3 linked regions of the Arabidopsis thaliana genome follow. The protein of the gene in region 2 interacts with the protein of the main gene of each other region in a pairwise test. Each region holds a gene or a part of one and is shown on either strand. Other genes may lie near its edges. The genes, in order: ATS, ETT and AT1G11810.

Region 1 (10,218 bases), on a different chromosome or scaffold from region 2:
CTTGTAACTTTAATGGAGATTGTGTTGATGGGAAGTGTCGTTGTCTCCTTGGTTATCACGGTCATGACTGTAGAAACCGTAAGTATCCTGTATCATTCACACTAAATTGTTGCTTGTCAAGTCTCTATCTTTCCCTAAGATCTGAACTTAGAAGTTATGCTTTTCACCATGCAGGTTCATGTCCTAATAATTGCAATGGACATGGAAAATGCACAACTCAGGGTGTATGCATATGTGAAAATGGATTTACTGGAATCGACTGTTCCACTGGTAACTATCCACATTTCTATAGATTGTGTCAAGAATACGTTTATCAATATTATATCTGATAAGAAGTTTCTTTTCAACTATACAGCTATTTGCGATGAACAATGCAGCCTACATGGAGGAGTGTGTGATAATGGGGTTTGCGAGTTCCGTTGCTCTGATTATGCAGGCTACACATGTCAGAACAGCTCTAAACTAGTTACAAGTTTATTGGTGTGCAAAGATGTATTGGAGAAAGACATGTCAGGGCAACATTGTGCTCCAAGAGAGCCTAGCATTCTTCAGCAGCTTGAGGAGGTTGTGGTAATGCCCAACTACAATAGGCTGTTTCCGGGCGGGGCTCGGAAGTTATTTAACATTTTCGGTAACAGTTATTGTGATGAAGCAGCTAAAAGACTAGCCTGTTGGGTGAGTAACAATCTCTTGGGATTTGTAGAGTTGTCTAAGTTTCTCCATGATTATAGGCAAGAGACTAGCATTTTCTGATACTGCCATTTGTTCTTTATGATCTCTCTGTACCAGATATCGATCCAGAAGTGTGATATCGATGGAGACGACAGACTACGAGTATGCCATTCAGCATGTCAGTCCTACAATATGGCGTGTGGGGCTTCTTTAGACTGCTCAGATCAAACCCTTTTCAGCACGGCAGAAGAAGGTGATGCTGAATGTACGGGGTCTGGCGAAATCAGATCGCCATGGTTTAGCAGTTTGTGGAGTAGATTAGTAGCAAGTTAACTAGGAACAATTCATCTGGGCGAAAGAAAGATTTGTGTGTACAAGGTAGATAGTGAGGCAGAGTATTATTTTCCAATCTGTAATTTTTCTAGGGTTTATGAGGAGACGTAAGTTAGGGGTCTTGCCTTAGCCCACCTGTTAGATGAATTAGAGTATCTTTGTCTGTCTTTCGAGTGAAAATGCAATATGTATTTGAATATAATATTATAGGAAAAATGGGATTTTTAGGCCGAAGGCCTTCCAAGAGAAAAAAAAAGGGAAAATCTATTTGATTGTCTTCTTCTTCTTAGCTCTCTATATGTGTCTCTAATTCATTCTTCAAGCTCTTATGTTTTTGTTACGCTTCTTAGACTCTAGAGGTGCACTTTGGAGTTGGAGGACTTGTTCCTCAACAGCAATCGCTAGATAAAAGTTGTCCCGGTCACTCTTTTCGATTGGTCGCTTGTGATGTTGTGTACATTAGAGTGAGGACCATTGATGATCTGCAAGTGTTTGGCAATGTCTAGATGAAATGGAGAAATCTATTTGGTATCTATAGCAGAAACTTATTTTGGATTAATATATAATTGCAGAAGCGGATTTGCTTGGATGTAAGCGTGTTAGTATACCGGTCAAACAAAAGCATAAGTGGGTGAAGCTACTCTTTGTATATCTTGGCGTGGTACAAGATAAGACAATTGCTCTACATTTGATAGCCAAGCTGCATGCACACTGCACGTAGCGAACCCTAATTTTCGCAAGAGGATCAAACATATTGAGACTGATTATCAATTGGTTCAGACACATGTACAAACAACCAAGAATATTGCCAAATTCTAACTAAGGCGCTAATTTTGGAAGAGAGTGTTGTGATATCTGTTGATCATATTTTTTTTTCTTACTTGTAGATACGCTTATCAAGAAAGATTTGATATCTTGTTAATAATACCAAAACAACAAATATGGTGTTAATATTGCTCCAATAGAACGGTAAAAGTGACCCTAAATATTCTCTTGGGTGTTTTATGAACAATGTCACACCATATTATTTTGTTTTGGTATCGTGTTGGAGATGCTCTTAGCCAGGCCCGGCCCAGAGCTAAAGATGGTGAAGTTAGAGCTTTAGGCATCACATTTTAGTAACAAAATTTGGGGCATCAAATTGTAAAATTGTTGGTGGTATAGTGGTCAACGTGTTGAATAACCTTCTTTTATGTGTCTAGTTCGAGTCTAACTTTTGTCAGAATTTGTTTTTTTTTTCAATACCTCATTACGAATGGGCCAAACACATTTTTGCTTTACGCAACAAAAAGACTTGGACCGACCCTGCTCTTAGCCATTCCAATCTAACAGTAAAGACTCTTAAAATTTCCTTCATCTAATCTTTCTATAAATAATTTGATACTTGGTTTATACGCTTTTAAAATAATTTATTTGGTGCCGGCTCATCTAGATGTACTCTTGAAAAAATATATTAATTTATTTATATTTTGTTTTAGGTAAAATAATTAATTGTTATATAACAACTAAAAACCAATATACCGTCAATAAATTGTATGTCTTCACTTTTAATAATATGAACTTTTAATTATAGTTAATATGACATTATAATTTGTACAAAACATCTAAATAAATATCAAATTAAATAAGATTAAAGAGAATTAGTACAATGTAATGTATTTTCTTTCATTTTAAATTTATAGATTGTAAGTTTCTATTAATTAAATTAAAATATATCAGTTATAAAAATATATAATGTTTGTCAAACTATTAAAAATAAAGAAAATTCTAAATTGAGTAACATAATAAGAAAAAATTGTAACACTAAATTTGGTGTTCCATGGTTGGAGTTGCTCTAATACTATAAAGATTGAATATCAGTGTTCACTCAACCTGTTCATTTTCCGATCTAGATGAAATAAATTCATTAAAATTGAATTGATGTCACTCATTACATCATTTTAATTAGGTGACGTAGGTTGCATGGTGTGTTTAATTTCACATGTCTAATTTGTCTGGTTAGGGTTATTTTGTGTTTGCTATAATGTATAATGATATACATTTTGCTTTGACAAAAAATATACATTTTGTTTGTTGTAACCTATAAATATATCTTTTATATTTCGTTTCATCGGACATTTTTAAGGAAAACTAGAGAATTCAAAACTCCATTTTCAAGATGTTACAAAACAAAATGAGTTTATGTTCGCCACTAGATAATTATTTCACCTTTTAATTATTTTAATCATTATGATTATTACTCCAAGGTCTTTGATGAGCACAAGCGTCCATGAGGAACAAAACCCGACGTTCTGAAGGAAGTCAAGGTCGCTATTGGCCTTACGTAACAAAGCTACCGATCAAGACCAAAGATCATATCTTCTTTTATATATTAAAATTTAAATATGCAGTCCATGAGCATGATATAATATTCTCTTTGAGAAAAAAAAATTGATATAATATTCTACCACACATCTCGCAATATATGTGTTGACCCATTATTCAATATAAGCAAATAATTTACTAAAACTATAGATTTTACTTTTATGTAACAAGCAAAAAAAAAAGAATTGACCACGTTACAAAAAAACTCTCCATATATAACCAGAGTGGGAGCAGTGGAGCATACCAAAAGAGGAAAGAGGCAGCAGAAACTTTTTAGTTACCAGAGAATCTTTTCCAATTTATATTAAAGTGTGATAATGGAAGATTGAGATGTTTTTTTGAAGACTGAAACAAAAACAAGTTATCTCTACTTGAACTTGTACTCCCTTCTCATCGCACTACAACAATACTTACTACTTCAAACGATTCTCTTGATTATACATATCAAAAAACTCATAGAACATTCTTGGAAAGAAGTTCATATATGATGATAATATGATTCTTCCGAAGCTCATATGATCAAAACAAGTTAAAATTATGTTAAAACTGGTAACCTAAGCTGACTTATTTGTTGTAGCTTAAGGCAATTAGCACTTGAGAAGGGTTAAATCACTGGAGGGTTCCGCATATTCCATCCCCCAACTAGGCCGCCCCAATGTGAAATCCAAATTGAGATGAATGTTGGTATCCTCTTTCTCTTCATTGTCCTATTTTCAAAATATTACACATTATAAGTACATAAGTAAAAGTGTACCATTGTTACCATTGTCAGCATGCAATTAATGAGAGATAAGGGATAAATAATGTACCTTAGTGTGATGAGTTGTTCCCAAGTGAGAATATGCTTGTGTAGATATGCTCCTAGATACTTCCTTTGTCGATGACCATGAAGCTCTGTTCAAATTTTAATAATAAAACACATTTTAGAAATCTGTTTATAACTCCTATTGCTGGACAAAATTGTTGTATTTGGACCTACTTCTATATTATCATCAATTAATGTACATATACAAATTAACAAAGAAAATTCAAATATCTTATATTTCTAATTAGACTAAAACCAAAAACAACCCTTAACGAATTTAATGAGAGATGGAAAAGTACATTCACATAAGCCCTAGGAGAGGGTCATATTCATCAAATTTCACACAGAACTAAGGCAAAAAGAGATTAAATGCAAAATTTTACAAAAATAAATATATAAATAAAAAGTAACCTTTGGGTCTTTTGCACAGATGATGAGTTTGGCGAATTTGTGTCAGTTCCTTCATCAGCTTCTTCATTATTATTATTGTCCTCTATCCTCTGCTCTGCCTCTTTCTCTACCTTTCCTTCTCCTGTTTATTCCCAAGAACAAAAATACAAATTTTCTTTTAAAAATTAATAAATAATGAAATTTTATTTACATTTATATCTAATAAGAATGTAAAAATCAGTGAACTAGTTTGAATGCATACCTGGTGATCCTTTATCAGTGCATTTCACTGTTCTATACATCTGCATTAACAATCACACATTCTTGAAAAATCAAAAACAAATTAAAGGACGAAAAAAAATAAAAGAAATGTTTGGCTAAGTTCATTTCAACTATGCAATCATGCGTTAGATAGTGGCCCAATTATATACATTTCATACATATTTACATATACCTATATATCTATCTACATTTATGTGTTTGAATTCGTATGAGATTCCATTAATTTATATATAAAAAATGAAGAAAAAATAATGAACCTGCAAGTGACTCTTGACATGAGCTAGGGTTAGATCCTTCACATTCATGAGCTCCAACACTGATTTAGGCGTTGCTCCTGAGACAAACCAATACATGACAAATCTTAATACTTTGGTTTCAAAACGTTACACTAACATACCAATCTCGATTGGTTATGTCTTTCTTTTAAAATTTTTTTTGATTAGTATAGGAAAATGTAAGAGGACAATACATACTTTCATGGCCGCCAAGAAGTTGAACAGCATGGACGAAGTGAGCATGAAGAGTAGAAGTCCATCTCATTCTTGGAGCACGAATGCTTCGTTTAAGACCAACCATTGATGATGAGCTTCTCTTGAAATCTCGACCGTAGATTTGAGGTTGGAACATGTTTGAGCGCCTTTGATGATGATGGTCAAATCCTAAGCTCAAGAGAGGTTTGTTGAAGAAGTTGTTCTCATGGCTCAGGTCACTGAGGCTGCTTCCAGAATCACTGCTTGTGGAGCTCCGGTCACCGCCGTGAAGAGGTTTTCCGGCGTGATAGTTAGGAAGACTGATCTGAAGAGACAGATCTGGGACTGAGTTTGAAGCTCTCATACTGTTTCTTGACTCTAACATCATCATCTCACTATTTTCTTTATGATTCTTGTCTACTTAAATAGTGGAGATCAAAGAATGTGTGGAAAGAGAACGAGAGAGAGAGAGAGAGCTCTGCAGAAACAACACTTTTATTGAGGGAGAAAAAAAAGAGGTAAAATATTATATTTCTCCATCGTTGTCATTATCTCATTAATGTATTAAACAAAATTCTATTGTCTTTTTCTTATTATTAAATGGTTTTTTTTTCCAACAAAACAATTCTCTACAATACCTTATTATTCTGAAAACGCTTATTGCACTCTTTTCCTAGTACTACCAAATGTTAGTCCCAATGTAATAACCAAAAAAAAAAAAAAACTAGAAGTGAGGAAATATTTATAGGGTGAATTGCAAAACTAACTGTTTTTGATAATTTATTTAAGAAACTAACACTATAATATACAAAATGTAGAAATTAACACTAGAGGGTAGTAAAATTACTAAATTAGTCTTTTTGATTGGAGATGGTAGTGGTGGTGATGGTTGTGGCCGGTGGTGGCCGGCGGTGGTGGATGGAGTTGATGGTGGTCGGAAGTGTTGGTGATCGGTGTGGTGGTTGCTATGGTGGTGGCCCGCGGTGGTAGTGGCCGGCGGTGGTGGTGGTGGCCGGTGGTAGTGGTGGCCGGTGGTGGTGGTGGCCGGCGGTGGTGGTGGCCGGCAGTGGCGGTGGTGGTGGTGACCGGCGGTGGTGGTGGTGGCCGGCGTGGTGATGGCCGACAGTGGTGGTGGCGGTGGTGGTGGCCGAAGTTAGTGGTGGCCGGAGTCGGTGGTGGCCGGATTTGATGGTGGCCGACAGTGACGGTGACCGGTGTTGGTGGTGACCGGAATAGATGGTGGTCGGAGTTGGCGGTGATGGCCGGCGGTGGTGGCAGGCAGTGGTGGCCGGCGGTGGTGACCGGCGGTGGTGGCCAGCGGTGGTGGTTGCTACTGAAGGTATTGAGGCAACAAGGACAAATTGAGTAATATTACATATAATACAGAGAATATTATAATTACATAGTTAGGATGGTTAGTTAGTGAATTATAGTTTTTTTTGTTAGTTATTTATGCAAATTTCCCATATTTATATATACTAAATCTTGTAGTCAAAAGCGTTGAGTTTTTCTTACTTTATGTTTGAATATAATATAACATTATATGTTGAAAGAAATTTAACAACTATCAATCTTGTCGAGATATAGGAATTGCTCACATCGAATGCCATATTACTTGTAAAACTCGTGTGTCTTCTTACCGTTTTCTTAAATTTTTTCTTTCTTGAATGCTCTTTTTTTTTTTTTTTTTTTCCTTCTAGCAATCCTGAAAAGATGCAATTTAACTCATTTGATTCTCAACTCTCGATGAGTGAGGATTAGAATTCTCAACTTTCATCTAATACTAAGAAAACATTCAAAAGAAAAATGAAAAAGAGAGAGTGATTATATTTCTATATAGTTGGAATTGTGAGAGTATTGTGGTGATGTGCCCAAAAAGTTAAATGCAGTAACTTGGCCAAAATAATTAATAAATAATGATTTTTTACCCAAGAATAATAATAATTTAAGAAACAACAAAAGAGTAAAAAAGTTGGAAGACTTTTATGACAACGTAGATTCTGATTAGTGGTTAAAAAGGTGAAAACAAGCACAGAGAGAAAGACTGGGTGTGATAATTAGATAATGAGTACCCTATGATTTGCTTGTTTACTATTTTCTAATATATAAAATAAATTATTTTAAATTTCCAATGCAAGAAAATAGGCTTTTAAAAGGTCTCTGCCTCTTAGGGCTTGATAGAGAATACAACAGAGTTTGCATTTAATATTTTACTGCAAAACCTTCAAAGCCTCAGATTTGAAAAGTTGACTGGGAAAGCAACCGCGGCTTTGTCATGGAGATTCTTGTTTGAACCACAAAGTCCCTCCAAAAGGAAAATTTGTTTATCTTTCAAGAATTGAGGAGAAATAAAGACAACTAATTACTCTCAATCGTATTATTTTAATTAATTTTCATGACATGTCTCTTGGGTCTTGGCCATTAAAAGAAGAATCGTACGGTCGATAATATTTTGCTTTTTCTCCGACAATATTCTTGTTTACATAAGCATCTTATTGTGTTTTGTTAAAAAGAAAAAAATGGTATACTTTGTTAAAAAAAAAAACAGACAAATGATAAAAACCTAACATTCCCATTGATATTTATTATTTTGTTTATATCAATAAGCATCTGATTAAAAGCAAAATATTCTCTTAAATTAACATTTAACCAATATTTTTTTATATAAAACATAAGAATATTTTTTTTTTGTACAATTAAAAAAACTTCAAAAAATAATAACCACCCGTTTTTTTTTTTTTTGTGTGTACGATTAATAATAGTAATATTCACCACATTTGAAATTTCTCAGATAAAAATACAGCAATAAAATTCGATGTGTACATAGACATCATATTACATGTCTCCAGGCGCCAGATTAATGGCTTGGCATCGAAAAAGCCGAAGTGGTAATATACGATGGAATATTTGGAAAGATAATTTGCTTTGTTATTGATTGATGGAGACACCATTAAATTTCTCTTGTTTCATTTTTTTATTAATTAATTTCTATCTGCTTCCTTTTGTTTGTTTCTTCTCTCTTCTTTGTTGACACTCTCAAGGCTCCTTTTTAGGTAAAATTTCTGGAACTCTCAAGGCTCTTGCTGCTCCTTGCTTTGCTATTGAAAACAAGAATATATGTACTTATTACATAGATGATTTTTTTCCTATTTAATTTGTTTTCTTTTGCAAATTGACAAACTAAATAATCTCCAAGAATATATTGTACTTATTATACTAATTGTATAGTTAAATGATAATAATAAACGAAATTCAACATTCAAAAGGCTAAGATTGGTAGCCATGTGACACTGGTTAATGTTGACTATGAGTATATATGTATCATGTTCTAATATGATTTGAATCAATAACATATAAAAGGAGGCATTCTAATAAATAAATAGTAGTGAATGAAACAAGATAAATTTTTAACTCAAGAAATTTTTTCACTTTCTATCTGTCTAATAGGTTTAAGATGATAACCATGAGCTGTCGTATATTTCATAGATTAATTGTGTATTAATTATGTTTGATCGAGATTTCGACGGGTTAGAGTAAGATGCATTAATAAAGGTGTATCATAACTACAATAAGTCTTTTTTTCTAGCATTGAAAATTTGCAACAAACTGAATCCATTTAATAAATTATATCATAGAACCATGCATTAATATTTTAAATGTGTATTATGACTACTCAGTGTACCCATGTGGTGTGTAATATAGTCAAATGTCCTTTTTGATATTTTATTTTGTTGCTTCTCGCATTTTATCTTAAATTAAACATGAGTTGGAGAATGCAAATATTCCATTTTTTAGAAAGATTTGTATCATTCCCACGTATGTCATCGAGCTCATACATCTCTTTTGCAAAACCCCACGGAACTTCACTTATTATTGAATAACATTTTACATTCTTAACTATCATTCTACATGGTCTAGTGGTTTCGTTAGATGTACAATATTTTTATTACAGCGGAATTCACATTAAACATACTCTACGAAGTAATATAGATTTCAGCTTCCAATCTCCCACCTACAAAAATAGAACTTACAGACTCCACAAATTATGTTCAATCATCGTTTTCCACATTGATATTTAAGTATAAAAATTTTATTAAAAAAATTGTAAACTCCTTAAGAGACACATGAAAGCTAAAACTGCCTTTATCGCTAGAGGACTAATTTATGTTCAATGTCTACGATAACGCGAAAAGTTCATAGATAGACTAATAATATTATCTATGAATGGAAAACAAAAGAAAAGATTCTACACTTCCTGTATTATCGCTGGGCACACGTACGTAGCAAAAATGGACCAACCTGTACACGTGCTTGGACCTATCGAATATCACTCGGTTGGTTAAGAATTAAAAGTAGTGATTGTGGAAGATTTACATATTGTGATTACATAATGATTAACAAAATGAGAGGCCAACAAGAAGAGTTGTTATTAGTAAAGAGAGTAATTAAGAGTGGAATAAAAGATACACTCCGTTAGAGGAAAATTACGTTATTTTGACGTAAAATAAATAAATTAATCCAATAATGTTATTAATTATATATATATGAAAAATCAAGTGACTATAGATTTTCAAGTAAAATTATAGTTTGTCAATAAGTATTTATGACTTTTTATAACTATATGTTCACATTCAAATAATTCAAAGTAGAAAAATACACTAATTGCCTATAACTAAAAATGTTAATCATAATCCTATTAAATAGCCGAACTTTTAAATTATATGGACTCTTCAGATTAGACGTACAACTTTATAGACAATTTTCACTATGTGGAACTTTGGCATTACGTACCAATCCTATAACCATGTTAATTTTGAAGGATATTGCTATATGTTTATTAATCGTTGCCAACTTCTGTGTGAGACCCCGAAGATCCTCGATGTGAAATTCACGTGTACAACC
Region 2 (11,445 bases):
TAACAGGACGTATACGTAAAAGTATAGTATAAATAAAAAACAAATAATTGGATATTATATTTTTGTTTGGTATATCTGCTTATGGTCGCACTAATGAGAGGAATTAATACGCCAACATTTCTTTGGTTTGTAAATTGTAGATAGTCATTAGTCAATTTACTCATAAACTAGGTTTTTGAAACTAAAACTCCCTAGTAGACAGTTTACTTTTGCACTTATAAAAGGACTTCAAAAAAAAGAAAAAATTGTGTTTTTGGCTTGTTGGAAAAGTTAACTTTTGGGGCAAGAAATTAAGAATTATTTATGAGATATATTGGTTTTATATTTATTTTGAAATTCATTGATAACTTCACTAATTTTTTTGAGTGAGCTCATGTATTAGCTTTATTATTATTATAAAATATAACTATCCAATGCACAAGTATTTAAATTACAAAGTAAATTAAAGATCATTATAGTGACTGCTTTCTAATGGGAAATGTTTTGGTATGTTATGAAAATCACAGTTCATTTTTGAAATGTATAGTTTCATAACAATAATTAACTTAAAAATAGTCATGAGAAGAAATCCATTAAGTATGTTTGATTTCAAAAATAATGTAGTTTTAATATAGTGTACTACATTACTAGTGGACTTTTAAAGAAAAATGACATCTCAAGATCACATAATCAAGTCTTGATGATGGATGGGAAACTAATTTGTATGTTCGGGTCATTAGTCCAAAAGAAATTATAAGTCAAAACAATCATAATCTCTTAATTAGAAAAGAAAATATTTTGTTTCATGAAATACATAAAATAAATAAATAAATGCATCAAATTGAAAACGCACCATGTAATTATGAATCAATCTTAGTGCGGTGGGTGGCACTGACACAACTGATTAAAGCTGGATTTAAAGGCCCGAAATAGTAATCAGTCAAAAACACAAAAGTAAAAGTTTCTTCTTAAGAAAATTTCATTTACTCTCTTCGAAAACAAATTGTATCCCAACCCTTACTTTCTGTTGCACCGCGTGTACCAACGCGCACATAACTCCGTATATATTTAATTTATTTTTAAAAAAAAGGGACGTCTGAGATAGTGATGTAAAAGCCTAAGGACAGTTTTAGTTCTATGTTGTCAAGTCATTTGTAATCATGTCTCACCTAGTTTATAAGTATCTTCTTGATACTGTTGAACTAATGGTGTTTGTTATCACCATAATAAGTAGTCTATTATTTTATAGTAATATTGATAAAATTTAAATGTACACAATGCTATAGTTGAAATATGCAATTCGTTTTGATAGAACAATTCGTAACAAACTAAACTAAACAATGTTAACAAAAAAAATAGTGATGAATGAATAACAAACATACATCAACAAAATAAGGAAAAATAGCAAACATCATTTTCTTTTCTTACTATATCAAGTGATAGAATCATTTTTCCCCTAAAGTCAATAAAATTAACGTAGAAACTTTTCTTCAATTGTTTATAAACATTAATAGAAATGTGTTATTCGTTTCAAACTTGTCTTTAAAACTATGTGTCGCGCATGTTCAACTCCAAGTACAACACCGATCACATGTGTGTCATTCATAATCCTTTTTTGTTTCAAATGAAAAAATGAAAAGTAGCTTGTTGATACAACTTGATAGTATTTGATAGTTTTATAAATCACAATCTCAAAAATAAATATTGGGAGGAGGAAAAATTGTGTTGAACCCTCGAATGAATAAAAAAACGAAAGCGAAGCATTGAATGAAAGTGGGGCTAAGTTCTACTGCAAAGAGAGTGAGAGAGAGAGAAAAAAGTAGAAGAAGAAGAAGTAAGTGAACAGTGTCTGAAACGGGTAAAAAGAAGACCAAAGAAGAGCAAAGAGAGTGTGAAGAATACGCGCAATGGGAAGAGCGTGAGGCTCGAGAGACTTTCCAAAAGAAGATAGGAAACAGATGTCGGGGCATTAACCAATTGGGTATTTGGATTTGTAACCCGTTTTGTCCGGGTCCTGCCCCAATCTCTAAACCACTTTTGTTGTTGTTGTTGTTGTTGTTGTTGTTGTTGTGCCTCTCTCTTCTATAGCTGTATCTATCTACATCTACACTGTCTCGCGTGTTCATCAAAATTTAATAAGCAAAAACATATTTCTTTTTTATTTATAGAGAAAAAAAAAATTTGAAAGAAAGAAAGAAAAAAGTCCCCCCTGATCCTCGGGTTCTTTGTAATTTATGACACTCCCAATTTAAGACCTTCTTCTCACTTTTTCTCTATTTGTCCTTTTTTTTGCAGATTCTTTTTATCTTACATTTCTACCCTTGCATGTTTCTTGTATTTACTTGTACTTTCATTGTTCTCTTGTTTGCTACATTGTGCTTGTTGTTGAGATGAGATTCATTCTCACAACAATCGGCAATGAAAGAAAATGTTGGGTACTTTTCATGTTTGCTTTGGTTTGTGTTTAACTCTCTATACATATGTACAACAATGTTTTGTAGGAAAAAGAGAAGATATTCAAATTGTGGTTTGATAGTAAGTATTATTAGTAAAAGAAGTTGATTAGTATTTTTAGATTTAAAACGGTATAAGAATATCACTTAGCAGAGACAATAGATAAGATATTTGCATGTTTGATATATGAAGCTAAAAAGTAAAAGAAAAGAAAAACATTTCAAATCTCTCGTTTACTTTGATGCCGTTGGAAAAATCAACGTACACTGCACTTAAATTCAATATGTTACATAAATAGTCTTATTTATGAAAAGATTAAATTTATTATCAAGAGATTTAATGTACACAAACCATAGTTATATACAATAAAAAACATTTCCGAACTTTATTAGTATGTGGGAAAAAAATAAACTTATGAGTTGCGAAATATCTAACACAACTCAAGGATAAACATTGTAATTTCTTTCATATAGCATCATCACTAGTTCAAGTGTAAATCGATCTAATTTTGCATAGAACTGAAAGGAGTGAACAATGTACTAGGTAAAGAAGAACAATGTTTTTGTTTGCATGTGTATTAAGCTCTAATTTAATTCAAAGTGTGATATACTGATATGATTAGGCTAGTTCCTCATCTGGGTAGACATAATTATAAGAATTTTCGAAACCTCATCTTACCAAAAACATATATAATCTCTACCATTTGTTTCTCTCAATATGCCCTACCATTAATGGACCCTACTTTGTACTTATGCAATAATTCTTCCTGTTTTTACAATAGCCATTAGGTAGGTTTCTTTAGAAATTCGGATGACTTGTGTATCCATCAATTTATTCGCCGTTGATAACAGGTTCATGCACAAATTTCTTAAGATTGTTTCTTCTTGCCTTAACTTTATTTTTTTATCAAAAAAAATTAGATCTAGCTCACAAATCAAATTTGTCACAAGATACGAAGTTATTTGTTTCAAATTTAGTCCTCGTTAGTCATTTAATGTGGTTTTGTTATTTTGAATCGTTTGGTTAGAGGAAAATAAAATGTTATTTCAAATCAAATCCAAATTTGGACACATTGGCAACAAAATGTGTTAACTTTCACTTGATGATGGTATCAAGTCATTCCAACCATTGGTTTAAAAATGATGACAAATTTAGTAAGCAAATGTGTTTCTTCTTCATAAAAAAATACAACAAGAAGTGAGGAAGAAACAATGTGGTCGACTATGATTAATGTGATCTATTGGGAACAATGTGATTAGGCGATGATGAATAGGTCGTATTAAATCGTTTACTAAAATGATAGATCAATAACATTAGCACAAACCAATATATATATATATACTAATGCATGATCTTCTAAAATATTTTTAAAATCCATCTAACTAGTTCCGAATTCGAATAACAGCAATAAACACTGATTATTTATCACAAAGGTGTAATTTTAATCAGAAAAATATACAACCCTTTTCACCATATACTAAACTACTGAAAATCAAAGGCATGAAAGAAAACTATCCCCCAATGTACTTTAGAATATAACGGTAGTCCAAATCTTCGCCACAAAACACAAAACCACATGAACTAGTCATATAATAATGGATAAATGATTTAAACTATTTCACTAATAATGTGCATCAATCCCTAAAAGTATGCCACCAGTATTCTTTTATTTCTCCCACAATAATATCAATAAAAATGATTCAAAGACAAAGAGACAACAGAGACGAAATTATTCTTTTGTAGATCTTATTATATATAAATGATTAACTAAAAACCATATACTTGTAACAATAATTATTATATCAGTACTAAAATCCAATAGTATCAACATTGCAAAGAAACTGTTGTGTAAAAGATAATAATAATATAAAGAGAAAGCAAAGAAATCAATCTATTTCAAAAATCTAATCCCATCTAATGTCTCTCTCTCCACGCACAAAAGGTCTAAAAGCCACACCACACACATCAGTCACCAGACGTAGCAGAGAGCCTCACTGTTGCAGAGAGCACTCAGTACTGTTCTGTTTCTCTGATACCTCTCTCTCTCCTCTCTCTTTTAACATTGTCCAAATTAAAAATCTAAACTTTTTTTCTAGTTTTTTTTTTTTCTTTAATAGAAAAGTTTTTTTTCTCCACGGCTTAAAGACTCACTCATCACTGTGCTACTACTCTCTCTTCTTTTGGCTGAGAGGGTAAAAGTCATGAAGAAACTCCTCTGAGTTTTTTTTCTTTCTTTCTTATAATAAAGCTCTTATCTTTATCTCTGTTTCTCTCTCTTTAATGGGTGGTTTAATCGATCTGAACGTGATGGAGACGGAGGAAGACGAAACGCAAACGCAAACACCGTCTTCAGCTTCTGGGTCTGTCTCTCCTACTTCGTCTTCTTCAGCTTCTGTGTCTGTGGTGTCTTCGAATTCTGCTGGTGGAGGGGTTTGTTTGGAGCTGTGGCATGCTTGTGCTGGACCCCTTATCTCTCTACCAAAAAGAGGAAGCCTTGTGTTGTATTTCCCTCAGGGACATTTGGAACAAGCCCCCGATTTCTCCGCCGCGATTTACGGGCTCCCTCCTCACGTGTTCTGTCGTATTCTCGATGTTAAGCTTCACGTATGTAACTAACTCTCTCTTTCTTTCTATTTTTTGTTTTGTTTTGTTTTCTTCATTTATGTTTTCTCCTCTGCTCTCAAAGCAGAGAGATATGGGTTTTGTTCTGTTTTTCTGATTCTTTGATTTTTTTAATTGTTTGTTTGGTGAATCTGAGTTGGGTTTTCGATACAAGTATGGAGATTTGTGCCTTTGGTTTATTGAATTGTTTGAGACAAACGAATTTATGTTGGGAGAAAAGTTTCCTCTTTTGCTCCATTTGCATTTCTTCTCGTGGCATTTTGATGACGAATACTTGAAATCCCCATAAATTATCTTCAGTTTTTTCTTTGATGATAATGAATTTGATTTCAAAGTTTCGCCTTTTGCTCCATTTTGATGACAATTGATTTCAGAACAATTCAATTCTCTGTAAAGGTTTAAACTTTTTTTGTTGTTGTGAGGATTAATAAACAAAATGTGGGGGATTTTGATTTCGTAGGCAGAGACGACTACAGATGAAGTTTATGCTCAAGTCTCTCTTCTTCCTGAGTCAGAGGTGAGTTTTTCTTTAGGCTCTTGAGTTTTGTAACAAAGAGAGAGAAATTTGCTCGAGCTTAGGGGGTTTGAGTTGATTTGTTACAGGACATTGAGAGGAAGGTGCGTGAAGGAATTATAGATGTTGATGGTGGAGAGGAAGATTATGAAGTGCTTAAGAGGTCTAATACTCCTCACATGTTTTGCAAAACCCTTACTGCTTCTGATACAAGCACCCATGGTGGTTTCTCTGTTCCTCGCCGAGCTGCTGAGGATTGCTTCCCTCCTCTGGTACTAATCCACTCTCTGTAGATTCTGTAATCAGCTTTGTACATTGCACATTGTGTTCTAGAGTTCTCTTATTAGCTCATATTGAGAGATTTTAACTACATAATCATTTTGTTATGTAGGACTATAGCCAGCCCCGGCCTTCTCAGGAGCTTCTTGCTAGGGATCTTCATGGCCTGGAGTGGCGATTTCGCCACATTTATCGAGGTAAGTTTGTTGCCTTATGTTGCAATTTTTCTTGCCTGGATTTAGTAGATGGAAAATTTGAATGGTTTGAGTGACTTTTAGGGCAACCTAGGAGGCATTTGCTCACTACCGGGTGGAGTGCGTTTGTGAACAAGAAGAAGCTTGTCTCTGGTGATGCTGTGCTTTTCCTTAGGTAGTTAAAAATGCTTCTATGTTTTCTCACTACACAACCTCTTTGATTTTCTGTAAGAGGTTTTGTGATATATGGGTTTCTCTGATACAGAGGAGATGATGGCAAACTGCGACTGGGAGTTAGAAGAGCTTCTCAAATCGAAGGCACCGCTGCTCTCTCGGCTCAATATAATCAGAATATGAACCACAACAATTTCTCTGAAGTAGCTCATGCCATATCGACCCATAGCGTTTTCAGCATTTCCTACAACCCCAAGTAAGCCCCAACCACAATGACCTTTTTTCGTTTTCAGCATTTAAAATTTCATTTCAGAATCATAATTAGAATCTCCTGAAGCCTTAAGTTGTGTATTGTTCTAGTTGATTGTTCCTTAGAAGTTTGTTAACTCCAATAAATATCAGGAATTTAGCATTAATACTAGTTCACTGGTAAAACATTTTCAGGGCAAGCTGGTCAAACTTCATAATCCCTGCACCAAAGTTCTTGAAGGTTGTTGACTATCCCTTTTGCATTGGGATGAGATTTAAAGCGAGGGTTGAATCTGAAGATGCATCTGAGAGAAGGTTACTTATAGACTTATAATTCAAGCTTTAAGATAACCTTGCACACCTGTGTTTTATATGCCCAACTTTCTAACATGTTTCACCTGTTTTGTCAGATCCCCTGGGATTATAAGTGGTATCAGCGACTTGGATCCAATCAGGTGGCCTGGTTCAAAATGGAGATGCCTTTTGGTAAGCTATGAATTATGTTCTTAAGTCATTAGTTTGGTCTGAGAGGTCTTCTATAAGATTGTTGCCTTTTCTATATCCGTAAGCTCACTGCTCTGAAACTATGTTTTGACGTCATATTCAGGTAAGGTGGGACGACATTGTGGCAAATGGGCATCAACAGCGTGTCTCGCCATGGGAGATCGAACCATCTGGTTCCATCTCCAATTCAGGCAGCTTCGTAACAACTGGTCCCAAGAGAAGCAGGATTGGCTTTTCCTCAGGAAAGCCTGATATCCCTGTCTCTGGTACACATCTACTTAGCCAAAGACATTGTACCACTCATATAACCATTTATCGCCTGTAATATAACGTTTTCTGCTATTATTGCAGAGGGGATTCGCGCCACAGACTTTGAGGAATCATTGAGATTCCAGAGGGTCTTGCAAGGTCAAGAAATTTTTCCGGGTTTTATCAACACTTGTTCGGATGGTGGAGCCGGTGCCAGGAGAGGCCGCTTCAAAGGAACAGAATTTGGTGACTCTTATGGTTTCCATAAGGTCTTGCAAGGTCAAGAAACAGTTCCCGCCTACTCAATAACCGATCATCGGCAGCAGCACGGGTTGAGCCAGAGGAACATTTGGTGTGGGCCGTTCCAGAACTTTAGTACACGTATCCTCCCCCCATCTGTATCATCATCACCCTCTTCCGTCTTGCTTACCAACTCGAACAGTCCTAACGGACGTCTGGAAGACCATCACGGAGGTTCAGGCAGATGCAGGCTGTTTGGTTTCCCATTAACCGACGAAACCACAGCAGTTGCATCTGCGACGGCTGTCCCCTGCGTTGAAGGGAATTCCATGAAAGGTGCGTCAGCTGTTCAAAGCAATCATCATCATTCGCAAGGAAGGGACATCTATGCAATGAGAGACATGTTGCTAGACATTGCTCTCTAGAAGGGTTCTTTGGTTTCTGTGTTTTATTTGCTTGTGGCTTAAGTAAAGTTCTTATTTTAGTTGATGATGACTTGCTGCTAACTTTTGGAATGTCACAAGTTGTGACTTATGAGAGACTTGTAAACTTGGTTCAAGAATGTTCTGTGTTAGGTTCAATTTAAAAAGTGTTTGCATCAATTCCGGTTATTTGTGTTTGTACCAACCGGTTCAATTCGTAATTCTAATTTAACCGGAAGGAGTCCGATATCGTTATCTCTCTCTGTGCCACTCAAAGAAAACGTAATCCAAGCCAATGGAGGAGACGACATGGGGACAGAGAATACAAGCGGTGACACATATCCTCACAAACCCAACAACGAAACCATCACTTTACTCTCAATTCTTCATCGGAGCCATAATTCCAAACTACGTATCGTGGGATTACCCTCCGGTCTATTCGCCGACGCATCTCCGTCAATGGTGGGTTTCTCAGTTCTTCAAAAGGGTATCGAGATTTGGGCTGCCTGATACATCGTGGAGGTCGAATAGCCCGTATTATCAGCCACCGGCGGCGGTTATGGCTGTCGGAGTTGAGGAAGGGAAATGGGGGAAAGAGGAGAGGAGAGAGTATGCGAGGAAGAGGCTGAGGAGGAAGAGATTGGTGAATGAAGTGAATCCATATATTCCTCTTTTAGTTCCGAATTTGCTTTTGTTTACTCTCTTGTTATGGGATCCTCTTCCTGAGTAAATTTATGGTGGTGAATCTGTTACAGATTATCTGTAAGTTATTGAATTTGTTGTAAACAAGATCTGTGTGTTTTGTAATGAAGAAGACGAAGAGACATAGACTCAATACTCTCTCGTTTGGATTTAGTGTAATAAAAAAACCGGCCGTATCGAACCGGTAATATGTATGGTTTTTTATTTTGTTCGGTTTGGTTTCAAGGGACTTGGTTTGACTTGATCCGGTTTGGTTTCAAGGGTCTTCTATTCTTCCGTTTGGATGTAAGTAGCATCCATCATTCATAGGGTCACATTTATGAAACCCAACAAGTTTTTTGGGATTTGATTTCTTTGTCTTGCTTAAAACTTGAAAATGTTCAGTAGTGATGATTGTCAATTTGTTACAAACAAAAATAATAAAGGACTTTGAATAGTGGTAGTAGTACTAGTATCTTGAGCAGAATAGTATGTTGTAGACTGGTGCTATTTTATTGGAGGAATGGATTAATATTTCTTTTGGATTATATAGGATTAGCAATGGTGAAATCTTAAGGTTTGTAAAATATGGCAGAGAAATGGATGATATTGTAGGTTAGCTAATTAGCAGAACACTCAAATTTTAACGGAAAAATAATAGGTAATAATTAATCAAGTAAAAGAACTAAAATGATCTATGAGGATGATTACCAAGCGGGATTATAAAGACTAAAGAGTGTGGATGCATTTGGTGAAACTAGTGTTTGTGAGTGTTTCCTTTCTCTACTAAATAGAAATCTCACAGTCACAGAAAAAGGTTTAGATTCATATAAATGAAGTTCATACTTATATTTATAAAACTTCTCATGCCATCGAATACCCGATAATGGAAGTATTTAGTGTACATGGTTGTCCATCTTGCAGCTTCTTACGGAAGCCACATGCAAACTTGACGTGCTAATCTTCTATCAAATGTTGTTGGAATATACACGTACCAACGTGTAGTGGTATAATTTATGCAATGCTTAATTGATGGATGTATCAATTCTTGTAGTCGCTTATCGTTCACTATCTCTTAAACCCACCGTCCTAATTAGTTAGTTCCAACTGCAAGTCACGTTTGCTATATCCCTAGTACCTTGACAAATCTAACGAATGTAGATAATCAACCTTTGCTTGTATTGTTTGTGGGTCTATTCATAACCAAATCAAAAGTTTTTAATTAATAATCTTACTTTATATTCTACCTAAAAGATTTGTGGAGCCGTTTATTCGTTTTATTTTTCGGCAGTTGAGATCTATCTTAATATTGTCTGAAAAGAAGAAGTACCAACTCTAGCTCCCATACTCACACAAGTCAATGTTGCTTGAATTTTTTGTAAAGCATTAATTTGTATTAGGTAAAAATATTTAAGATTTACGAACGAGTTATGTTCGCTTATTTATGGATCATTATCACTCGATGTTAGTGAGAACCAGACCAATAGTTTTCTAAATCCGGTATATTAAAAGAACAAAAAAAATTGATACACAAATATTTCCCTTTGGCCAAATATAGGGTAGATAATATTTTCTAGTTTAAGTTAGCGATTGTTTAATAGTAAATCATGACTTGTAGTGTTATATGATTTGGTAGTGGATATGCAACTGCTAGTAGTTTTAGTGAAATGTTATGTGTTCGTAAAATTCATGTAGTTTAACGAAGCCATTGTTAAAAAACACTACTAGTAGACGCTATTTTAAGCCTGACACTTTGGAATTAGAAATCAAACGTAGAGGCATGCATACTTAGGCTCGGAAAGCATATATATGGTATCGAACCTATCGGTGTGACGGTGTCCCTATAGTGGCTACCCCCAAAGTCTGTCGTCTCCCATTATTACTCTGTCGTCTCCCATTATTACTCTGCCATTGCAAATTTTGGAGTTTGCAACTCCATTTTCTCCCGCCTTTTATTTTGTCAACTAATTTTCTTTCTATTGCTTGACAAAAAAAAAAAAAAACGAATTGCCTTTATCATTAAGTCAACTAATTTTCTTCTTCCCTTAGAAACTGTATTTAGTTACTACAATTGCAAAAAAGGGTATGATTATTAAACTTTTGAATGCATGGAAATAAACACTATAAACTTAGTTTAACTGAGAAAACGCATATATACGTTGGGTCAAACCATAATACTATTATCTTTGGATTAGAGCACTACGCATACTCAGACTCCAGATGGTATGCAGAATATTTGCTTATGTCTACTAATTCAGGCAAACATTGTTTTTAATATGTTTTGTCGGTATTATAACTTGTGTTATTAGAGATAAACCCTTTTTGGATGTGAAAATCTCATTAAGCCATTGATATTTTTAGTGAAAATCTCGTAATGCATAAACACTAATATATACTACAACCCCATCCTTACGGGGCATGGTGCTCATGTTCATTGTCAATAAGTGTTTTAAACTCGCAAGATTAGGTATTAATATTTCATCTAATCATAGGTTTGCTTAAAATTAGTTACCCATTTTCTGATAAGTTAATTACGTAGGCCCAAAAAGTCGAGCTACCCTTTGAAAAAATCATCTCATCTCAATGGACACGCCATCAACCATTATCACCAATTCAGTCCTTATTTCCACCTAACCATTTACACTCTATATAGTAAGCAAAAGGAAAAAAAAAAAACTTTCCTATATATAAACACTCCCACTTTCTCTCACAAACCCACAACACTGACTCACATCATCACCATGGCTTTTTCCACTAGCTCATGTCTCTTCTTCTTCCTCTTAACACTTGTTCTTTTCTCAACCCAAATCAGTGCAAGAAACAGCTACTCCTTTGGCAAGTTCCAAAGAGAGGACCCCAAAGAGCAAAACCCTAACAATCTTGT
Region 3 (9,421 bases), on a different chromosome or scaffold from region 2:
CGCTCTTGGCCATCTACAGGTCTCAATCTTGTAACCCCAGAGCTTTTATAGCTGGTCTTAAGGCTCACCAATTCTAAAGATCTTACCTTCTGGTTTTGCAGGAATTCGCAAGTTTCATCCGTATCCTCGGGTGTTATCCAATGGATCTAGTCAGATAACCGAGCAACTCTTCAATTGATTTCATGTTACCATACCGTGAAGAACATGTGAATATACCCAAACAGAAGAACAGGGTTTGTGGCTTTGGTATACTTCAAGAATCTTCTTTCACCATTTTCTCATTTTAGAACTTTAGCTTCAAACTCTTCATTGTTGAGACAGATACAATTGATGTAGCATTTTGTTAAGAATATGTTCTGTACATTAAACAAGTTTTTTCAGTTAATATCAATGAATAAGGTTGTTTGATGCAAAACCCTCTGATACCAAAATCTCTCTGGTTTTTAACGATCATATTAATATGTGATTAGTTTCAGAATCTTCATTACAAAAGGTGGGGGCATTGTTGAACAATAAGACTGATCTTTCAGTTCGAATCAGGAAATAAGGCCGTTCCCAAACCAAAAAACAAAAAAAACTTAAACCAAGAACTGTTTATCATCAGTTCGAAACAGAGAAACCCTACGCACCAAATTTGGTGTTTCATACAGTTTTTTAACCTAGTCACAAAAGCTTCACTAAGGAAGACTAACTTCGAGCTCTGAATAGTTTGATCTCATTTTGGCGAAAGGGTTACAAGCAGACCGAAATGATCACTAGGCAACACCGGAAGCTCTAACTTCTTAATGTCACCCCTCACTTTCTTCTCTTTTACATATGATAAACCAGGAATGGCCTCTTTCCCAACCATCTCGATTCCACCAAGCTTGTAATCATCCAGACGACACAAAATCCGGTCTAACCGTTTCTGCAATGCCCGGTTACCGGACAACATTGGGTTTGCTTTTGTGTCATATGTAAAACCCAAATCACCTGGTTTCAAAACCTCCCAAACATCCACCCATTTGTCTGGCAAAGGAAACTTCCCATCTAGCTTGTCGCACCAGTTCATGTCTCCCCCGAATATCACATTGGCATTAGGTCTGAGAATCTCAATTGCCTCCTTGGCTTGTTCAACGCGTTCTCGACTGAACATTTGGTCCCATTTTGGAGGACCTGGACAGGGACTCTCAAGATGGCTAGTTGCAAAAACAAGTGGCTTTCTCCCTGGAACTTCAACTTCTGCGATAGATAGTTCTCTTCCCATTATCGAGTTCCCAAAGCTTTTGCTGCTGAAAGATTTCACTCCCAACTTGCTCAACTGCAAATTACACATAAGGGTCAGTTACAAGAACCACAGGGAATTATTCAGATACAGACGGCAAGAGCCTAAGCCAAGCAAGCACAATCTTTACCAGCATGCAGTAGTAGCCTCTCGAAACTGCCACATCAACTGAGACAGAACAAGAATACGCTTTCCACCAATTCGACTTGCGGAAAATATCATATATCTCAGGAGTGACTTCCTACAAACCACACAAAAACCACTTGTCAAGAAAGCTGAGCTATTTCTAAATGTTGCAGATAGAAATCATTCTATAGCAAAATGTAAAAGTGACCTGAAAACATATGAGATGAGGAGAATGAAGCTGAATAAGATGACCAATCGCTCTCATCCTTAGATTCAACTCAAGGTCTTCACGAAACCAAACATTGTAGCTCAAGATCTTCAAGCAAGTTAAAGGTGTTCCTGAATCAGAAGCTACCCCTACAAAAACCAAACAATGACAAAAAAAGTAAAGACTTCTGCATTGAGGAACAATGGAAATCAAACTCACACAATTTAGCAGTAATCAAAAACCAATAACAAGCTTTAGATGAAACAGGAATCATACAGTAATAAGTCTCGTCTTTCAAACTGATATCTAAGGTATGAGCCACAATGAGTATACCAAAATTCACAAAGACCTAAAACCCTAGGGAGTAGAAAAAAACCGACCTTTCGTTTCAATCTCTTTGTTCTTCTTCATGACACCTTGCGATTCAGAGCAAACAACAGAAGCACCATCGACCTCGACGACGTCATCATCCATAGCTTTACGCTTGATACACCGCCGCAGAGGAAAGAAAACAGACCCGACGGAGGAATCAGCGTCGTTACTCTCGAGACCCGAATCAGTCAAATCCTGAAATCCCAAGAGAGAAGACGTTGGCGATCGTGTTCCACAGACGTCACAGATTGAGTTCTTGTACGTGTTCAAAAAAGTACAGGCCTTGCAAGCCCATTTAGCTTCATCGTTCGCGGAAATTGAGAGAGAAGGTGGAGGAGGAGACAAAGAAGGGAGAGATACAGGAGCCAAGCAGATCATGCAATTGAGTTTCTGAGACGCAGAATTGAGGAAAGTACATTTGTTGCAGGACCAAGACGACGACATTGCTCGACTTGTGACAATTCTCAGAAATCGGATTGTTGTTGACATTTACCCTAATTAGTTTTTATCGATTTTGATTTTTTGACGCTTCGGTTTTCATTTAACGGCTACGTGTTATTATTATACGACATCGTTTTGGACAAAGAAGATGGTTTACAATTTCAATGTTTAAATTTGAAAGGTGAACCGTAATCAAACCGAAACTAACCGAAGTATACCCATATACCAGAAGACAGAATTAGCTGTTGGGGAATACAACAAAAACAAAAACATACTATTTAGGAGACAAATTTTATACAAAATTTTATTGTCAAGAGACTAAAATCTATACTAGCATTTTCGAAGTACATCTCTTGGCAATAAAATTTAGATGACTAGTTTTAGTCTATTGTCTTTCTTTTTCTAAGATCGATCCTAAATGTATTGACATGAACATGATCATGTCTATTGCAAAAACCTGTCATTCTATCTTCAAACTTTAAGAAGAAGAGGGGGAAAAACTCCTACGTTTAAAATGAGTAAGTCTATTTTTCAACTCGGAAGAACAAAATGTTGGATTTGCAGTGATGTAGGTATCTTCAGGACAAGGAATCGCTAAGCCACCCATTGGATGATCAAACCTTGACTCGCTCTCGAAATTACTAATGAAAGCTTGAAACCAAGGTTGGTTCAAGTATGAGATTGGAACCTAATATATCTTCTTCTGGCTCTCTTTGACGTACACCGCAAGCAATCTTTGAGACTGATATTTTTGTTCTTAGATCTTTTTCTTGTTTGAAGTTTTAATTTCTTTTGTTAGCTAATTTTGAAGATGTATATAGTAGGAAAAGTTCAAGTTTTTGGATTGGTCCTTTTTTGTTTGCTTTATAAGGAGTTGTTAGTTCTGTGAATTATTTACAGATCAATGAATGAGTTAAGATCTCTAATACTTATGGTCTACAGTCAGACTAACACAAAGACCAGCAAGTTCTGTTCTTCATTAAGTTGTAATTAGTTCTTAATGTTGTAAATACCAGAACAATAAGTATCTATCATTTGGTCAAGTTGTTCTTTGATCACAAATGACGGTTCTTAGCAAAGAATATACAAGTGTCGTCTCTCACTTCATCATTTAAGGAGACGAACAAATAATGACGACTTTGTCCGATCTTTCAGTAGATTTGGTGGGAGAGATATTCTCTAGAGTTCCATTGATATCTCTGAGTGAAGTGCAATGTACTTGTACAACGTGGAACACTTTATCCTGGAACGTTTTGTCGGAAAATTATGTTTTTGGTAATTAAAGCAGATACAAGTAAGCAATTTCTAGGTTTCGTAGTAATGTATTCTAAGGTTTGTTCCCTGAGACTTGATCTCCAAGGAATCCACAACAACGATTTCGTTGATCCATCTTTAAAGGAAATATATATAGTTGATCAATACGATATATCTAATATATTTCACTGTGACGGCTTGATTGTTATGCGTCATACACAAAAGGAGAAGGAGGCTCATGGTGTGGAACCCTTATTAAGGGGAATTCAGGTGGATCCAACCAAGAAGCAAATACCATAAGTTCCACAGATTAGACATGTATGCTTTCGGTTACGACAAACAACAACAACAACAACAACAACAACGGTGTGTCTTTGAAGGGAAATACTTATTATTATGCTCCACAAAAAGAAGTCAGATAGCCATGCAGTTTCAAATCGTATTGTTTTTTTACTCTGTTTTGATTTTACATCAGAAAGGTTTGGACCGCGTCTTCCTCTTCCGTTTCACTCTAGTGATGAAGAGACTGTGACTCTATATATCTTGTATCAGAGAAGAGCAGCTCGCTATGTTATATCAACCCTACGACTTATGTTTGGACTTGGTCATGGAGATAACGACTAAAATTGAGTCCAATGCAGTATCATGCATGGACCAAGTTCTTCACAATGGAAAGGACATCGCTCTCTGATTTTTCGAGTAAATTTCGTGTTGAGAGCTTCTATATCGACGAGGAGAAGAAAGTTGTTGTGGTTTCCAAATCTCGTAAGTATAGACCGAACGAAAACTGTGGATACGAAACAGTTAACATCATTGGACAAATCTGTTGTGAAAATCGGAACAGATCACATCTCGAAACCTAAAATGTTTAGATATTATTTTGATCCACTTGTGTTCTCTTCTTACGTTCCAAGTTTAGTGCATATACGAAGAATCTATCAACCGGGCAAAAGTAACGAGAGAGATTATTAAATTAGTTCCACTGATTACAATAATTTTTTTTTTTCTTCTTGCATCATCTCCTTTTGTTTCGTGTAACGTCCTTTTGAACAAGATTACTGTTAGTCATTTTAACCAATCACCTTTGTAGATTAGGGATACAAAGATGGAATAAAATCCACCAAAAATAATTAAAATCTTTTCCAGATTTCCTTCTGTATTAAGCATTTATTGCCAATTTAGAAAAGATTTCTTACCCTTAAATCGTAAACTAACACATTTGTCTAGTGGCTACACTGAACCCAAAAACGAAACAACCCCTAACAGTCCTTGGTTTTTCTGAAGTTCAGAGAAATGACGACGACGATGTCAACCCTTCCAGTGGTTTTGGTAGACGAGATTCTCGCTAGGGTTCCCATTACATCTCTTAGATCACTCCGATCAACGTGCAAGAAATGGGAGGCTTCATCGAAAACCAATCTTGTAGGTGGTAAAGCAACCGCAAGGAAAAGCAGTCACGTAGGGTTTATCCTCATTGGTGACAAGATCTGTTCAATGAAGCTGGACCTAAATGGCGGCGATGACTTTGTTGACACATCAGTGAATCAAGTAAGTGCATTTGATGGATTCGCGATATCTCAACTCTTTCACTGCGACGGCTTATTGTTTTGCATCTCCAATAACCACTACAGCAACTACACGCTCATGGTATGTAACATGTACTTGGGGGAAACTAGGTTGATTCAAAACCGTAGCTTGTTCGAGAGTTATCAGAACTTTTGCTCGTATGCTTTCGGATATGATAGCAGCAAAAACCGTAACCACAAAATCTTGAGAAATAATTCTGTTTCTGGTGGTTATGAAATCTACAGTTTAAAATCCGATTCATGGAAAGATCTTAATGTTGATCTCGAGAAATCTATACATCTTTGGCGACTAGGAAGCGTGTCTTTGAAGGGAAATGCTTACTTTCGGGTTATAAAGGTAATTGAAGAAGGAGTTTGGGAATATAATTTACTCTGTTTTGACTTCACAAGAGAGAGTTTTGGAAAGCTTCTGTCTCTGCCGTTTGAGTCTTTGGGTGATGAAGGAGAAGGCATTATGGTTATATCTTGTGTTAGAGATGATCATCTTGCTGTGTTATATCAACGTGACACTTTAGGTATTTGGATTTCGACTGAGATCGAGCCCAACAAGGTGTCGTGGAGAGAGTTTTTGCAAGTGGACTTGGCGACGCTGGATGGTTTTCCGGATGTATTTATAGCTGGGAGATTCATCGTTGACGAGGAGAAGCAAGTCGTTGTAGTTTTCGGTCAAGAGACAGAGTTGGATCTCAACCACGGAAATGCTTTCATCTTTGGAAGAGATGGATACTTCACCTCTTTTACCGTTGGAGATGCTCCGCCCGAAGACTTCACTTCTTATGTTCCAAGCTTAGTCTCATTGCAAATCGACAAGACGGGTAAAAGGAAAGCAAGAGATGACTAGATTGTTTCTTATGTTTCTTATCTCTCTTTTGTTTCAGTCATTTACTTTCATCTCCTTCTGAACAATTCTGCTTTTTCATGTTTATTTGGGATATTTGCTGCTGTGATAACATCTTGATGCGTTTTCTGTTTTTACTTCATTTCTTTTAATTTTATTGCCACAACAACAAATTACAAAATTATAACAAAATAAAATGTTTCAAGACCTAAAATTGGTAACTCGCCAAAAATAAAAATCACGAAAAGGGTTACAATATGGAAAATGTTACAAGAATCATAATAGTGACACAGAAGCCTCTTGAGAGACTCCTTGAAGTAGCTTCACCCGCGGCAACTTCAGTCGAATTCACCACTGTCTGTGTCCTATTTCCGACCTTCTTGCTGCACAAAATGAGGTAAGAGTACCAATTAAAAGAATGAAGACTTTATCTCGTCTAAACATATAGATAAAAGAGTTTCCAGAAGGGAGTTCAATGCAAGAACTTGCAATACCTTCCCGGGAAAATGCAGCTTCCATGACCTGAAACATACGCATCTCCTCATTTAATAGATTTTATAACGAAATAAATGGAAAAGGATAAAGAACTATGTAATGTATCCAGTTAACTCACAATTTCGAACTTTTAAGGAACTCGAGATCATTTACACAACAAGTATATGATCTTGATAAATATTTTCTTGTTAAAGCTCCTATAGACTCTCCCAACTTAGGATCTAAAAACTAACAGACTCAGATGGTGTTTGTTGATTTTCATAAGTCTTTTACTCTAGATCTTCAAACTATAAACCATAACAAGAGAAAAAGAAGAAGAAAAAAAGAGCTTACTTGGGTCAGTAGTAGTGATCATAGCCACACCTTTGAAGTCACATGAACCAGAAGCTCTTCCTTCCTTCTGGTAATAACTATTAAAAGCAAACGAAGCATGTCCCTTCACATTATTCGGCTGGTAACAACTCTCCCCAGGTTGAATCTCACTACAGTTAGATCTCCCAGGTCCACAAGCCCAATCCAATGCAGCTTGAAGCGTCTTCGCATCCACACCATCCATAGCAATGCAGTAAGTCTGGTTTGTTGTATCATTCGCTAAGAACGTTCCACTTCCAGATACATGAAGCAAATAAACCGGTGTAGAGTTCCCATAGAATAACCCCCAACTAGCTTCACTAACCGGAGGAGCCCTCAAATCCTCATTAAACAACTCATAAATGTAGACACTTGAAGTCATCTCAGGGTGCAAAGGAGTACCAGTTCTATCAAACACATGCTTGATCAAATTCGAGTTGTACGTATCAGCATTGTCGATAGTAGCATAAGGCTCTTTCGAGTCACCTTTCGAAGGCCAGCCACTCTCAGTCACAAGCACAGCCACATCAGACACATTTAAGTTTTTCATCGAGACATAAGCAGCATCAACCATAGCATCAAGAACATTCGTGTAATGCAACAAAGTGTTCGGATCCACCATTTCTTTAGACGGTGTCAATGGCTCAAACAAACAGTTATCGAGCGGAACCACACCTTTGTTCTGCATATAAACATAGTAAGGATACAGATTCATCATCAAAGGAGAACCTGTTTTCGACAAGAACTGAAGCAGAGGAACCATAATCGAATGCCAAGTCTGGTTAAAGTAAGCTTGAGAAGGCGGGAAAGTATCGAGCATGATGGAAGCTGCGTGAGGCGTAGAGACCTTGATTTGAGTGTGGAGATTAGAAGCAACAAGAGCATTGTATAAAGACTCAATAGCAGGTAAAAGCAAAGGAGCTGAAGAAGGCACAGTTGTTAAAACCTCATCTCCAACAGAAATGGCTGTGATTAATGTTTCAGGGTAATAAGCAACAACATTTCTACCAATCCATGACGCAGCAGTACTGTTGGATGATCCAATAGCGAGAAGCTGATTGTTTGGTACACTGATTATGACTCGTACCTTGGTTTTAGCTAATGCTTTGAGCAATTCTGGATCAGCATCGTATAATCGGACGTGATTTACTTTCTGAGCTTGGAGAAATTTGACTAATTCCGTCGGCGAGAGAAGATTAGAGACATCTGTGCCGATGTTGAAACCAACGAAGGGATCTTTGTCTTGTTCCTGAACCTTAATGTTGTGAGATAAAGACGACGAATTCGCTGCACATAGAAAGCTAGTTAAAAATCGAAACTTGGCAATGATTTCTAACTAAGGTTTAAGAATTCACTAAATGGGTTTTGTCTAGATTTGGATTCGAAACAAAAGAAGTAATATTTAGCCAAGTGTTAACTCAAAAGGAGACCAAAAAAACAATTTTTTATTTGAAATATGTAAAATTCGTCAATTTGGGGGAATTTGAACTGAAAAGTGGAATTGTTTGGTGAACTTACCAGAAATCAAAAGAAGAGTGAAGAAGAAGAAGAGAACAGGAACGGTGGAAACCATGCTAGTGAAAGCCATTGAAGAGGAGCTTGAGCTTATTGTGCAACTCTTCCCCTTCAGATTCAGACTCAGCGACTGATTCTTGCATTATCTTCCTCCTCTTCCGATGGATTTATGGCTGTATGGTTGAGATAATCTAAAGAGAAACGGAGAAGAAGAAGAGAGATTAGACATTTTTAGGGGTTTTAGGCTGTGAAAGAAAGATTTATGTCTCTGTGCTTTCACGTGAACCGACTCTGCTCGCTCCTCCCCACACAAACTGTTTTTTTTTCAGACCATATGTGATATTTTACCGTAATGCCCTTGAATTCCGATAAAAGCACCAGCTAGGCATCACTATGTAATCTTTAATAGATTTGGTCCATTTGGAATATTTTCTTTCATCCATAAATTTTGTAAAAAACCAAATTAAATAAAGTTGAATTGCTTGTACACAAAAAGACTCTGTCTAAAATAATAGTTCTTCAAACAATTAAGATAAAATAAAATAAAAAATATTATTCTTTATTATTATTTTGGTTTTGTATATTGGGTTGGAAATGGGATGTTGGTGTTGACCACATGTAATAAAAGTGGACAATTGAAAGCATATAACAATGGCCTTTAGTTGAATTATACTATTATATTATGTAGGTGTTTTCTCTATGTATTTATTTTCCGGTCATTGAAATATATCTATCAAACACATTGAATTACAAGTTGACAAACAGAGAATTACAATATAACCCATGCTTCCGCTGAACAGCAAGAAGACAATGGCCCATTTTATTTATTTGTTGATAACACTTTTTCTCATCTCAAACAATACAAGAAAAAAAATAAAAATAGATGTCTCAAGAAAACGTAACAAGTAATATTGTTAGCCTGAATCTTTTTGCACCGACTAAACTGTTTAAAGGGAACTTATATACAAAGA

The links.
Region 1: the proteins of ETT (region 2) and ATS interact in a protein complementation assay, tested with the Arabidopsis thaliana proteins (one study listed by BioGRID).
Region 3: the proteins of ETT (region 2) and AT1G11810 interact in binary tests that used the Arabidopsis thaliana proteins (3 or more experiments, as listed by UniProt).

The regions. Positions count from the first base shown.
Region 1 is NC_003076.8:17,070,041-17,080,258, forward strand, and holds ATS (Homeodomain-like superfamily protein), read right to left. Parts: upstream 5,865-10,218; 5' UTR 5,708-5,864; coding exon 5,320-5,707; intron 5,181-5,319; coding exon 5,104-5,180; intron 4,867-5,103; coding exon 4,827-4,866; intron 4,707-4,826; coding exon 4,586-4,706; coding exon of another isoform or gene 4,540-4,585; exon of another isoform or gene 4,264-4,539; coding exon 4,179-4,263; intron 4,077-4,178; coding exon 3,957-4,076; 3' UTR 3,633-3,956; downstream 1-3,632. Other genes in the region: AT5G42620 (metalloendopeptidase / zinc ion binding protein), read left to right, coding at 1-78, 175-270, 356-675, 790-1,000, 1,578-1,726; AT5G42635 (glycine-rich protein), read left to right, coding at 6,187-6,286, 6,339-6,428, 6,519-6,685. UniProt on the Arabidopsis thaliana protein: Probable transcription factor that regulates carpel integuments formation. Required for the specification of polarity in the ovule inner integument. Modulates the content of flavonols and proanthocyanidin in seeds.
Region 2 is NC_003071.7:14,321,882-14,333,326, reverse strand, and holds ETT (Transcriptional factor B3 family protein / auxin-responsive factor AUX/IAA-like protein), read left to right. Parts: upstream 1-4,348; 5' UTR 4,349-4,713; coding exon 4,714-5,037; intron 5,038-5,070; exon of another isoform or gene 5,071-5,515; coding exon 5,516-5,572; intron 5,573-5,658; coding exon 5,659-5,841; intron 5,842-5,960; coding exon 5,961-6,045; intron 6,046-6,126; coding exon 6,127-6,217; intron 6,218-6,307; coding exon 6,308-6,472; intron 6,473-6,660; coding exon 6,661-6,780; intron 6,781-6,875; coding exon 6,876-6,951; intron 6,952-7,072; coding exon 7,073-7,235; intron 7,236-7,320; coding exon 7,321-7,883; 3' UTR 7,884-8,121; downstream 8,122-11,445. Other genes in the region: AT2G33855 (uncharacterized protein), read left to right, coding at 8,176-8,610; AT2G33850 (E6-like protein), read left to right, coding at 11,303-11,445. UniProt on the Arabidopsis thaliana protein: Auxin response factors (ARFs) are transcriptional factors that bind specifically to the DNA sequence 5'-TGTCTC-3' found in the auxin-responsive promoter elements (AuxREs). Could act as transcriptional activator or repressor.
Region 3 is NC_003070.9:3,984,805-3,994,225, forward strand, and holds AT1G11810 (F-box associated ubiquitination effector family protein), read left to right. Parts: upstream 1-4,958; coding exon 4,959-6,092; 3' UTR 6,093-6,262; downstream 6,263-9,421. Other genes in the region: ADT1 (arogenate dehydratase 1), read left to right, coding at 1-19, 102-158; AT1G11800 (endonuclease/exonuclease/phosphatase family protein), read right to left, coding at 716-1,300, 1,395-1,505, 1,599-1,747, 1,979-2,459; AT1G11820 (O-Glycosyl hydrolases family 17 protein), read right to left, coding at 6,340-6,472, 6,584-6,611, 6,918-8,222, 8,454-8,523.